3 linked regions of the Cricetulus griseus genome follow. The protein of the gene in region 1 purifies or fractionates together with the protein of each later gene. This does not show direct contact. Links are inferred from orthologs where the notes say so. Each region holds a gene or a part of one and is shown on either strand. Other genes may lie near its edges.

Evidence for each region.
Region 2: the proteins of Clcn4 (region 1) and Tmem9b purify together in Homo sapiens (co-immunoprecipitation; 3 studies listed by BioGRID and IntAct, with this or other methods). This does not show direct contact. The link is inferred for Cricetulus griseus from reciprocal best matches to the Homo sapiens genes CLCN4 and TMEM9B.
Region 3: the proteins of Clcn4 (region 1) and Tmem9 purify together in Homo sapiens (co-immunoprecipitation; 3 studies listed by BioGRID and IntAct, with this or other methods). This does not show direct contact. The link is inferred for Cricetulus griseus from reciprocal best matches to the Homo sapiens genes CLCN4 and TMEM9.

The regions. Positions count from the first base shown.
Region 1 is NC_048604.1:105,026,977-105,030,624, forward strand, and holds part of Clcn4 (H(+)/Cl(-) exchange transporter 4), read right to left. Parts: intron 2,999-3,648; coding exon 2,600-2,998; intron 1-2,599. UniProt on the Homo sapiens protein: Strongly outwardly rectifying, electrogenic H(+)/Cl(-)exchanger which mediates the exchange of chloride ions against protons.
Region 2 is NC_048596.1:90,983,455-90,987,078, reverse strand, and holds the end of Tmem9b (transmembrane protein 9B), read right to left. Parts: intron 1,711-3,624; coding exon 1,555-1,710; 3' UTR 562-1,554; downstream 1-561. UniProt on the Homo sapiens protein: Enhances production of pro-inflammatory cytokines induced by TNF, IL1B, and TLR ligands. Has a role in TNF activation of both the NF-kappaB and MAPK pathways.
Region 3 is NC_048598.1:53,257,885-53,262,184, forward strand, and holds the start of Tmem9 (transmembrane protein 9), read right to left. Parts: upstream 2,808-4,300; 5' UTR 2,722-2,807; intron 2,696-2,721; exon of another isoform or gene 2,558-2,695; intron 2,303-2,557; 5' UTR 2,267-2,302; coding exon 2,192-2,266; intron 1,229-2,191; coding exon 1,137-1,228; intron 1-1,136. UniProt on the Homo sapiens protein: Transmembrane protein that binds to and facilitates the assembly of lysosomal proton-transporting V-type ATPase (v-ATPase), resulting in enhanced lysosomal acidification and trafficking.

The sequences.
Region 1 (3,648 bases):
TCTCACCACCAGAATGTGGTGATCCCTCTGTTTCCAGGGCTTAGGGAAACAGCTTGTCTGATTCCCTGGAGCAAAGCACCCCTCCTCTTTCAGCAAGCCGTAGCAATAGCAGCTTCTGCACTATGATGGGCCTAACTGAAAGCACAGAAATATGATTTACACTGCATGGTGCCTCTTCGGGTATTCCAAACATAGCTTCTGAGAGGGTGCAGGCTTGCAGAGCTTAAATTTCTTCTCCAAGCAGTTGATGCCAATTATCACTTCCCACTTGATTACAGTAATGGCTTTAAGCAAAATTAGTAAGATGTCTCTTAGCAGGTGTGCCTGGAGCAGCACAATAGGTAATGGATTATGTGACATTTATTACTTCAGTTTCTAAACTCAATCTTTGTGTAAAAGATTTTGGGGCGATTGAATGCATTTTAAAGGCTGCTGATTATGTTATTTTAAAACAAATATGACCCGTATTAAATAACTTTTTAATGATCTTATTATTTGTTAGGCAGTGTTTACCCCTCAAGGCACCTCCCTGTTCCAAGACAGGACCTATATAAAGAAAAACATCTCTGAGCACTCAAACAGGAATTTGCCATTGTACCTAAAATGTAAACTCAAACTTTGTTTTCTGTGAGAGTTAACCATTAAAATTACAAGGCAGTGCTTATCTACACTAACATTTGGAAAGCTTTAGAGGAAGATATCTTAATTATATTTTAAGCTATTGAGTATGAGGAAGGGGGTTCAAAAATAGAAAAGGAAGTGCCTGTAAAATAGGAACAAAGGGCCAAAGGATGAAACAGTAGTCTGGTGAATATGTGTACATGGTGAGGTAATGAGCAGTCAGGTAGAAGGAAGAAGATCTCTTTGTTACACTGCAGGAACATTCTGGAAGACATGGCGGAACATAACACTGGCCCCTGGTCACGAAAGTGCTAGAGGCTTGTCTCCCATATGATATAGGGGTAATTCACGGAGCAAGACTGCTGATGGGCAGGTCATGGTGTTTATCATGCATGGGAAGATGGCCTACACTGGCCTTTGCAACTGCTTGCATCCTGAGGTCCACAGGACTTCGGTCCTGGGAGGCACATTATTTCTCCTTGCATAGAACGCTCTCTACAACTCTTCCCAGGACTGCTCTTGCTTTCCTTCCCTTGCAGCCATCCCTGGCACAATGAATCCATAGGGTAGCTTCCTTGAACAGCCTGTCTTTGGAACATCCCACCTGTATATCATTCCTTTCACTGTTACCCAAATAAAACAGTCTGATCCTCAGGGTGACTGACCTCAATTCAAACACTAGGTAAACATAATCACATCGAACTAATTTTGAATGATGCTGCTTGCTAACCCACGTGGTCCCCTAATTGGTTGAATTGGAAAAAATGGCAGAGACTGAAGTAAAGACTCGTGCAGTGCTGAGTGAGGTACCAGAGAGAACTCTCCCCACTTCAGTGGGCTGACTATGCCACCTAATAGTCCATTTTTGACATAAGCTATGCTGTTCAACTTTGTTCTCAGAGCATTCCTTTCTTTTTAGCTTTAGTCAACAATTCCTTTAAAACTACAAAAGCAGCAGTATACTTCCTATCAGAAAGAGACCCCCCCAGTGGTTGCCTGTACCCACAGCAACCACATTCCAAACAAGAATATCTACCCCAGGGCTTGAGTTTAAACATTTAAACCTTGGCTCTTCACAATCTGAGTTGGAGGCAAAAACATTGGCATGCCTGAGAATCTCAGAAGGAATATAGAGTCTCAGCCCCAGTGGGCCAAGCTAGTTCAATCAGCATTTGTATCCTTTTTTTCCATTTTGGTTTTTGAGACAGGGTTTCTCTGTGTAGCCCTGGCTATCCTGGAACTAGCTACGTAGACCAGGCTGGCCTCAAACTCAGAGATCTGACTGCCTCTGCCTCCTAAGTGCTAGGATTAAAGGTGTGTGCCACCATCTCCCAGGTCAAAATTTGTGATCCTATGTAACAAATATGCTTAAATCAGAGCTTGGAAGACTCTGGCTTTCTAAAATGATTTTTCATTAAATCATAATGAATTTGATATATAGAAATACATAATCATTGGGGCTGGAGAGATGGCTCAGAGGTTAAGAGCACTAACTGCTCTTCCAGAGGTCCTGAATTCAATTCCCAGCAACCACATGGTGGCTCAAAACCATCTGTAATGAGATCTGGTGCCCTGTTCTGGCATGCAGGCAAAATACAGAATACTGTATACATAATAAATAAATTTTTCTTTAAAAAAAGAAATACATAATCATAATGAGTGCACTGTATTTATATCATTTCCACCCCTCCTTTTTCCTTTCCAACTCCTCCTATGTTTCCCTGCCATATCCTCCTCTAAATTTCATGGTTTCTTCTATAGATATTACATATATGCATATACATAAGTATACACATACAACCTATTGACTCAAATTAGTGTTACCCATTTGACCACAGGTTTAGGACTAACCACTTAGACTTGAGTGACATATTGGGGGCTTGTCAAGGGAGCCCCTGACTTACTGAACTCCCTGGGACCCATGTGCTAATTCTAGGGCCTCTGAGGGAAAGATAAGAGCCTCCCTGTCTGTACTCACTTATAGCCAAGATCAGCTCTCGCCTCTGGGCAAAGCCGATGAGGCGCTCCGAGTCTCTGGAGACCACCACAGGAAAGCCATTGTAGTCTGTCTCCTTGATGAGTGTCTCTACATCCTCCACAGTCATGCTATCCTGGGTGAGTACTGACAATGGTGGTTCTCCCCTTCGGGGTCGCATCACATCAGTGGCCAGAGTACGGTGGGTGAACTCATCCTTCACGTCGAGAAATGGGTACCCATTCAAATGAATGTGGGCTTCATAAATTCCTTCTTTCCCAAAGGCATCAGCCACCCACTTGCTGGTGACAGCAGCTGCCATCAGGGGCACAATATACTCCAGACCGCCAGTCAGTTCAAACATAATGACCACCAGTGACACTGTCATCCTAGTCACTCCACCTATAACAGAAAAGGACAGTGAAATTTGAAAGCTCAGTCACAGACCCCATGAATGTGTACAGACAAGCTCACAGACCAGAATTTCATCCCAAGCAGGCTCTCTAATGAGAACTTTCTGTCCTCCTAATACTTGGTCCATGGAGTCAGTCCCACATGATGCCTGGGCTCAGGCTCTGTTAAACCCAGTTTTGCATCAGGGACCTGTATTACCTGACAGGGAGCTCCACTCCAATAAGGGCATGCGTGTCTATACTCCCAGGTCATATGTCTGGCCCTTTGATAAGTGAATCCTACCAGACTATCCAGGCTTCTGATGGTGCAAGCAACTCAGAAGCCAAAGCATTGGAGGGAATATTAAGAATATTAGGTTGGACAGGAATCCAGCTTTGAATCCCTAGGTATTCAAAGGCAATTGCAACCAAATCCTACTCCAATAAAGTTAAACCAGGTTCTCTTAACCTCAGTACATGAGATATTTGAGGCTAGGCTATTCTGTTATCAAAAGGTGCTATGCTTGAAAGCTGAGCAGTGTCTGTGCCTTCTACCTACTACATATAAGTAGCACTTACAGTTATGATAAGGAAAAAGTGTCTCCAAATATCACCGGAGGCAGAATCACTCCTTGTTGAGAAACCATATTCTAGATGGTA
Region 2 (3,624 bases), on another chromosome or scaffold:
AGGCTTCAAAGCTACACAGATAAACCCTGTCTCGAAAAACCAAAAAAAAAAAAAAAAAAGAATTTAATGTAATAATATGTTAATATGAATTTAATATATCTGTAATATGATTTTGCCAAGAACTTCACAGAATCAGCACTCCTTTATGAATTATATAAATCTTGTTTTTCATACACACGCGCACACACACACACACACGTGTGTGTGTGTGTGCGCGTGTGCATGTATGTGTGTGTGTGTGTGTGCATGTATGTGTCTCATCACAGTCCAGGATGACTGAATTCCAATCAACCCACTTGTGTCAATCTCCCAAGTGCTAGGATTATGGGCTTTCAGTACCATGCCTGGTTTATGAATGTAAAGCCTCTCAACTGACTACTTGTATACCCAGGAATGCATCATCATTCTCTTTGCCCCCGTACACCATACAACAGGGTCAGTGTTTTAGGATTAGGTTGCATAACATGTTTTCAAACAACTTGGTACCAAAGGTCTCTGTGTCATCATGCTTATCACACAGCACAAGAGGAAAGACAGAAGGCTAGAGAGCAGACACACTTATAGGGGTTTTGAAAATTATTTTATTGTTACATTCCAAAGAGGATGTAGGAAGAAAAAAGCCAGTTATCCAATAACTGTTAGACTTCTGAGAGAGAGGCAATCCGAACTCCAGTCCTAGTTCAAAGCTGCCCACATTAGTTCAAATAGCTGCCTCTCAGCACGACAGGAAATGCTGACCAGTATGTGTATGCCATTCATCCAGGGAGGCTTGGGCTTAAGAGAAAATGTCTTTATTCTAAATGTTCAAGTCCTTAGAGATACTAGAAGAAGATGAGGAAGACCACACACACTGTGTTTAGTTATTAGAGTAAACTAGCAAACGGCCAGTTTGTTCTTGGATGTGTTGCATCAGACATCACATCGCACGAAACAAGTCTGCATTTTGTGGAGAGCCACCAGGCATTTTAAATCCAGCTTACCAAGAAACACAGCCACAAGCCAACCAGAATCTTAGTGATGTAGTCAGTGCAAAAGTCATGTGTGGAGGCTAGCACACTGATGAGCTGGCCACACTGGAAATACTAACAGTGAAATAGAAGGTCTGGTGTATTTACAAGTCTGTCTAGTAAAGAGACTTGAGAGAAACTATGTCAAGCACTCCCAAGGCTTCCCTTCCTTCTCCCGCCACAGAAAAACAGAGGCAAAAGCACACCTGGAAATTATCTTGATAACCAAGTTGCTGTGTGGTGAGAAAGAGAGCTTGTTCCAGGCACAGGACTTGACGATAACTCACAGGCAGCTTAATTTTATTAGTAAAAGTCACAAGTAGGAAAAGGTTTACTGGCTGACTTGGAACTGTGTGCTTTAAAAATGTCTCTATTAATACATTAACAAGAAAAAATACTAAGCATGTGGGTCTGCTTCCAACTTTGAGCCTGCCTCCATCCAGTAAGGGTTTGTAAAAACAACAGGCATTAAAACCCACTGACACCCAGTCAATTCTTTCCAGTTGTCTGTCGTGTTTTTTCTAGTCACCTTGATTCTGATTCCCAGTTAGCTGAGGACAACATGTCGGTCGAAGACAGACTTCCGCTGTTCCTGAACCTGAAGCTTCCAGCGCTGCTGTGCATACTCCACCTTGTTTAGAACGTTGGCTCTGCTGCGGGAGCGGGCCAGCACATCATGGGCGTTGGCAAAAGGCTGGTGATCCTGAAAGTTCAGTGGAAGGTGTTAGAGATGCAGGAACAGCATAGAACACACACAGAACAAAGAGCCTGTGAGCCAGACTAGGACAGGAGATTCTAGCCCTTCAGTCAGAAACAGGACAAACTCAGATACCAAAGCAGAAGATTCCAGAGACAGGAACAACAAGGGGTATGTGAGAAACACACCAATAGGTCACCATTTTCAAAGGCATCTTCTTTAAGGAGCAGAAACCAAGAAAAGGATGAGGGTCATTTTCGTTAGAGAAGTCCTTCCTGGTTAGTGGGAGGATAAAGTCTATTTTCTTGAGCCAGTGAAACGGCTCAGCAGCTGAAGGCACTTGACACCAAGCCTGACCTGAGTTTGATCCTGGGGCCCACATGGTGAAAAGAAAGAACTAACTCCTGCAAGTTGTCCTCTGACCTCCACATGCCCTGAGGCATGCATGTGCCCACCCTCTCACCCATGCCCCCCAAATAAACAAACTAGTTACTTTAATGCAATTAAAATTTTTAAAGGGACTAGAGTAATGGTTTAGTAATTAAGAATGCCTGCTGCTCCTCCAAAGGACCTGTTTCCAGCACCCATGTTAAGGCAGCTCACAATTGCCTGTAAGTCCAGCTCCAAGGGACCTGACACCTTATACTGGCCTCCCAAGACACCTGCAAAACTGTGTATACACAGCCACATAAAACTTTAAAAATCTCTAAAAATTTTTAGTCACTTCTTGTGCTATGGTCTTACCATGTCATCCAGGCTAGCTTGGAAAACTATATTGTCCAGACTAACCTCAACCTAGTGGTCCTCCAACTTCCCACTCCCAAGACTAGCACTTCAGGCACACACCACCTACACCTCCATTAAGGAAGCCTGTTTTCAGGGGTGGAGAGATGGCACAGCGGTTAAGAGCACTGGTTGCTCTTCTAAAAGACCTGGGCTCAATTCCCAGCACCCATATGGCAGTTCATAAGTGTCTGTAGCTCCAGTTCCAGGGGATCTGGCATCCTCACACAGACATACATACAGGCAAAACCCAAATGCACATAAAAAAAATCTTAAAAATAGTAATAATAAAAACTCAAAAGCTGTGACTTGTAGGACCCCTTTAGGAAGGAAGGAAGGAAGGAAGGAAGGAAGGAAGGAAGGAAGGAAGGAAGGAGGAAGAAAGAAGGAAGGAAGGAAGGAAGGAAGGAAGGAAGGAAGAAAACCTGTTTTCACATTACTATCTCCATGACAGATATTAATAATGTGGGATTTTCCTCTGTATTGATCAATACTTAATAGCTCATCTGTGGCAGAGGAGAGCTCTGTCTTTCCATTTCCCGATTCCCATTATATCAGAACTGATGGCATGCCAGCCAAGGGCCAATAGAGCAGCCAGGTGTTCTCAGGGCCACATCTTGATTGGTCTTCATGTATCTCTGAGCTTTCAATGTGCACTGATGGACTGTTTTCCAAAACTTTCTGGCTTCTCTCTTCCCCACTCTGCAGTTCGACAGAGCTCATGTGCTTTAGTACCTTCTCTTATCAAGGAGAGTGAGGACTGGCTTACTTCAGCATGTCTAATCTACAAAAACTTACAACCTTCATTGCAGAGTGCTCCACGACTTCAATGTTAATTGCTATCTTAGGAAAGAAGTCAATGAAGGTTACCCTGGTTTTCATACAAAGCCAGATTCTCCTGTCACAATAAACTGATTCAAATGGATGTTTGTAGTCATTACACAGGAAACCGCCCCACTAATCTACCCATGGATGAGATGTCAACACAGCTGCCCACATGACAAACAGCTTCAATTGTAATTTACTGTTTTTATTTTGCCTTTTCCCTGAGTTTTTCTTCAACCCCATGTCAGCAAAGTTTCTAGATGTTCCAACACAGGCCAGGCGTCTTAAACTAGGCTTGCTGACAGGAGATAA
Region 3 (4,300 bases), on another chromosome or scaffold:
CCAAAGTACAGTGGGGATTAAGTAATCTAAATCACGATGAACAAATGAAAAAGCTAGACTTGGGTCCAGAAAAGTTGGATCCAGAGTCTAAACATGCACAAACACTGGCTTTCAGAAAATTCAACTGCTACGAATCTGAAAACTCTCAAATGTGCTCTGGATCAATGGCATCATGAGCACCTCAAGGACTCCAAGCAAAGGTTACTCTTCTGACAGATGCTACCATATTTGCTGAATCAAAATCTTGGCAGGAGACTGTCGGAACTGCAAATTTTCTTAAAGCGCACCTAGTGATTCCCTGATGCACAGGTAGTAGCAACCTTGGCCCCCACCCCCATTCACTGCATACACCTTGACCTTACCCCGTGATGTCTTCAAGGATGAAGCTTCCCATCCTTCCAGCACTGGCAATGTTTCCCTCACTCACACTGAGGCTGACTCCCTGAAGCTGTCATCCCATCCACTGGCCTTCCGTCTACACTATGTGATCATCCCAAGCCTTCGTGGTTCCAATCCCAAATGCCCCTTCCCCTCAGCAGCTGTTCTCCCAATCTTGAACATTCACGGAATGTCCCCAGGTCTCTCCCTTTTCAGGGAGATTCTAGCTCCTTAAACTATTCCTTCTAGAACACAGTATTTATTCTTCCTTTCACCTTCACATTCTTTACCTGAATGCATTCTTGGTTATTTGTGCTTTTTTAAGTAAGGGGCTAAGAAATGAATTCAAGACCAGAGACACAAGGAGCACAACGTAAGATCTTTGTTTGGACCTGAGTCTATGCAATTATAAAATGGGAACAGCATCTACTCTATTTACATTAGAAGGTTGCTATGAAACCAGCAAAGCACACAGGTTTGCAAAAGTACCGAGGTATATACTATGTACACCTGCCCCTCCCACTTATCTACCACCACTCTTCACATCAACTGAAATCGAAAACAAAATCCAACACTGCCCCCCCCAAGCTGTAATTCAAGATCCCTGGGTTTTGTTATCAAATGGTTAAGGACAAAATATTCTTTTGCAGGCACTCCACAGAAATGGGTAATTTATCTCTAGAATAGGAAGTCTAGGAAAGCCCTGATCATTTCAGCCAGGTGATTGTGCCAAGGGCCAGCCATTTACACTGCCTTACCAGTCCTTCTGAGACACATTCTGGTTGTAAATGTGCCCACTGATGTTTCTGTAAGGTGGACAAATGCATTTGCACCGGATATCCTCAGAGCTCTGGAAGAAAGACAAAGAGTAAATAGCAGGAAAGACCCTGCCTGGGTTCAGATTCTGGGCAGGCTAGCACACTTCAGTTTTGTGTCCTGTTCTGTGAGGTACATATGTATGCTTTTGAATTTTCCCATCCCCAATTCAAGGAGGACTATCTCTATAGGAAGGCTGCCACATCACAGGGGCCTCAAGATAGGAACCTCTCTGGTATCAAAAGAAACAGAAGTTGCCTGAGGCAGGACATACAGCAAGCAAAGTGACAGGCCTCAACCCTGAGGCCCACACTTGTGTATTTTCTGTCTGGTGGGGTAGGTGGGCCAGAATTCCCCCCAAATCTGTCTTAACTCCCTAGGTTAGGATGGAGGAAGGGTTGAATAAAGAAAAGTGGGTGTTTCCATGGGCAGGCTCCCTCCAGGAATTCCTTCAGGGCAAAGAAGCAAGCCCTGCTACTCAATATCTTGGTGACCCTCAGAATCTAAAGCCATAGGACCTCTGTTACAAAGAGAGAGCATCCAAACCCAGCTGCTGGTCCTCCAGCCCTAAGGAATGGGAGCAATCTCAGGAGTGTACCACGAAGCTGTGTCAGCTGGAAGCAGAAACCACCATCTGTGCATGCCTTTACACTCAGAGAGCACTTTACAACGTTATGTGATTTGATTATCCCCAAATAGAGCAGCAGATTCGAACACAGCTGTTTTTACTTAGGGCAAAGGAAGACATGGAGAACTTGGGTAACTGCTCTAAACAAACTTTCTTGCTTGTGGGGAATTCCGCCGAGGGCCAGTCTGGTCTGAAACCTGTGCGGTGTGGTGCTCCAAACCCTGTGTTCCCTACACCCCTAGGGAAGGCCTGCAGCTTGCCCCAGGTAAGGTCCTCCAAGTGTGGTCCTCGGGTGGGTGAGGGGCAAAGAGTGGTGCTGCTAAAGCCCCGCAGGCCCGGTGCTAGAGCAACAAGGTGCTGCTGGCTCACCTCCCTCACCTTGTTGGCTTGAGCTGGGGGCACCAGCAAGCTCCCCACCACAGCCACCAAACACAGCAGCTTCATGCTTATCAGGCTTGCTGAGCCAGCAAGACTAGACGCCTAGGGGGATAAAAAGAAACATGGAGTCGGAAGAAGGGAAGGTGGTCACAACACAGCTCGGCCCCATTACAGCTTTGCCAGACGACGCAAGGGGGCTGAGTTCCAGGATTCCTGGGCCTTCTAAACCTTTCGCTCCCCAAGTCCAGCTCTCAGGAGCTTCCCGTGCACGAGCAGCGGGAGTCTTCTGGGGTTACAGCCTCCCGGAGCCCCCAGATCCCGTCACCAGCAGGCCCCGCTCCTACCCTCGCCTCCCACCTCTCTGCCTCCACTGCCCCCGTAGCGCCGCTCGGGACCAACGAAAAGCCCCGATTCCGACTGCCAAGGGCACTGCACACCCTGCCTAAGGATTTGGGGCGGCCGGGAACCCCCAGTGTCCCTGCGACCCCCGGCACCCCTCCCCCAAAGCGCGGTCCACCAACCTGCAAGCTCCGCCGCAGCCTCCACAGACCAGCAAGCCCCACCCCTCCAGTTTCTATTGGCTGCTAGAGCCGCCGCTCAGCCCAACCTCGCTAGTCGTCAAGACAACAAGTCCCACCTTCGCCTGGTCCTGGAGGCTCCCACTCTAGGGAGAGGAAGACATTTCTCTACCAGGACCTAGCAAGAAAAGGGACTGTCTGCCTTTCCTACAGAGAACCGAAGATCTATCTCGGAGGGTCCTGCCAACTCCTCCCAGAGTGCTTTGTTCTTCCTCGCGTTATACTATCTTCCTGTTTCAGGGAAAGCCTTTTGGAAATGAAGCTAGTAACAACAATAACAATTTAAAAACAAGATCAAGGTTGATTGTGCTTATTTACAGTCTGAAAATATTTAAAGAGCCACATGTTTTACAGGGAACTAAAGGACCCAGTCACTATTACCCCCCCCCCCCCCCACACACACACACTAAGACAACAACCTAGGGAGAATAAAACAGGGTTAGTAGGTGTGGTCTGCAGGGGGCTGTGCCTCATTAGCCTACACTGGCTCTAAAGACCTGGCAAATTGAGACAGTGCAGCAAAGTGCAGTCATCAGAGCCCAGGGCCACTACAGTGAGGACAATTGAGCTTTGGCCTCAGTCCTTCAGGGAAGAAATCACCTGTGTTACCCCAGAGACCACGCCTTCCCTCTCTGGGTACCAGTTTCTTTAGCTAAGAGTCTCTTAGGCTTTAAGGGATTGGGGTTCCTGGATGGAGGGATAGTCGCATGACCAGAATGTAATTTAGCAAGGAGAACCATGTGCCACAGAAGAGTTTTCCTCCCCTGGCATATTATTGTGTCGGGTCCTATGCTAGACACGCAGGCTGTTTAGGGGAGGGTGGAGGCAAACCTTGACTCTGCTCTTGTAGAACTTAAACACCACAAAGAAAACAATGTTTAACCAGCTGTTACAATTTAGGATAGTAAGAGCTTTGTTGTTGGGAAAAAAAGAATGCAATAGCTAGTGGGAAAGTTAGACCACGAGCCAGGAGAGCCCAGGATGGCGGTGAAGCTTTGATGGTAAGGTAGCAAGGAGCTCTCTGAGCTGTCAGAGTGTGATAAGAATACCAGCATGGCTATCAAAGGTCCCTGTGCTACTGCCAGAACCTGTGACTGTGTTACCTTGTAGCAGACTTTGGGCCACCAGCTCACAAAAACATAACAATACAGAGACTTACTATTAATTATGAAATCTTGGTCTTAGCTTAGGCTTGTCCCCCTAGCTCTTATAATTTAAATTAACCCATTTATTTTCATCTGTGTTCTGTGGTGTGGCTCTTTACTTCATCTCTCTGTACCGTCCATGCTGTTTCCTCCATGTCTGGCTGGAGACTCCACTTTTCTTCTTCCCAGAATCCTCTCTGTCCCCAGAAGTTCTGCCTAACCTTTTCCTGCCTAGTTACTGGCCATTCAGCTCCTTATTAAACCAATCTCAGTAACACATCTTCACACACTGTAAAATATTCTGCAACATTATCTAGCAAAAGGACTTTGCAGAGGTGATAGTGATACATTTTATTAAGGCCTTTACAGTAGAGAGA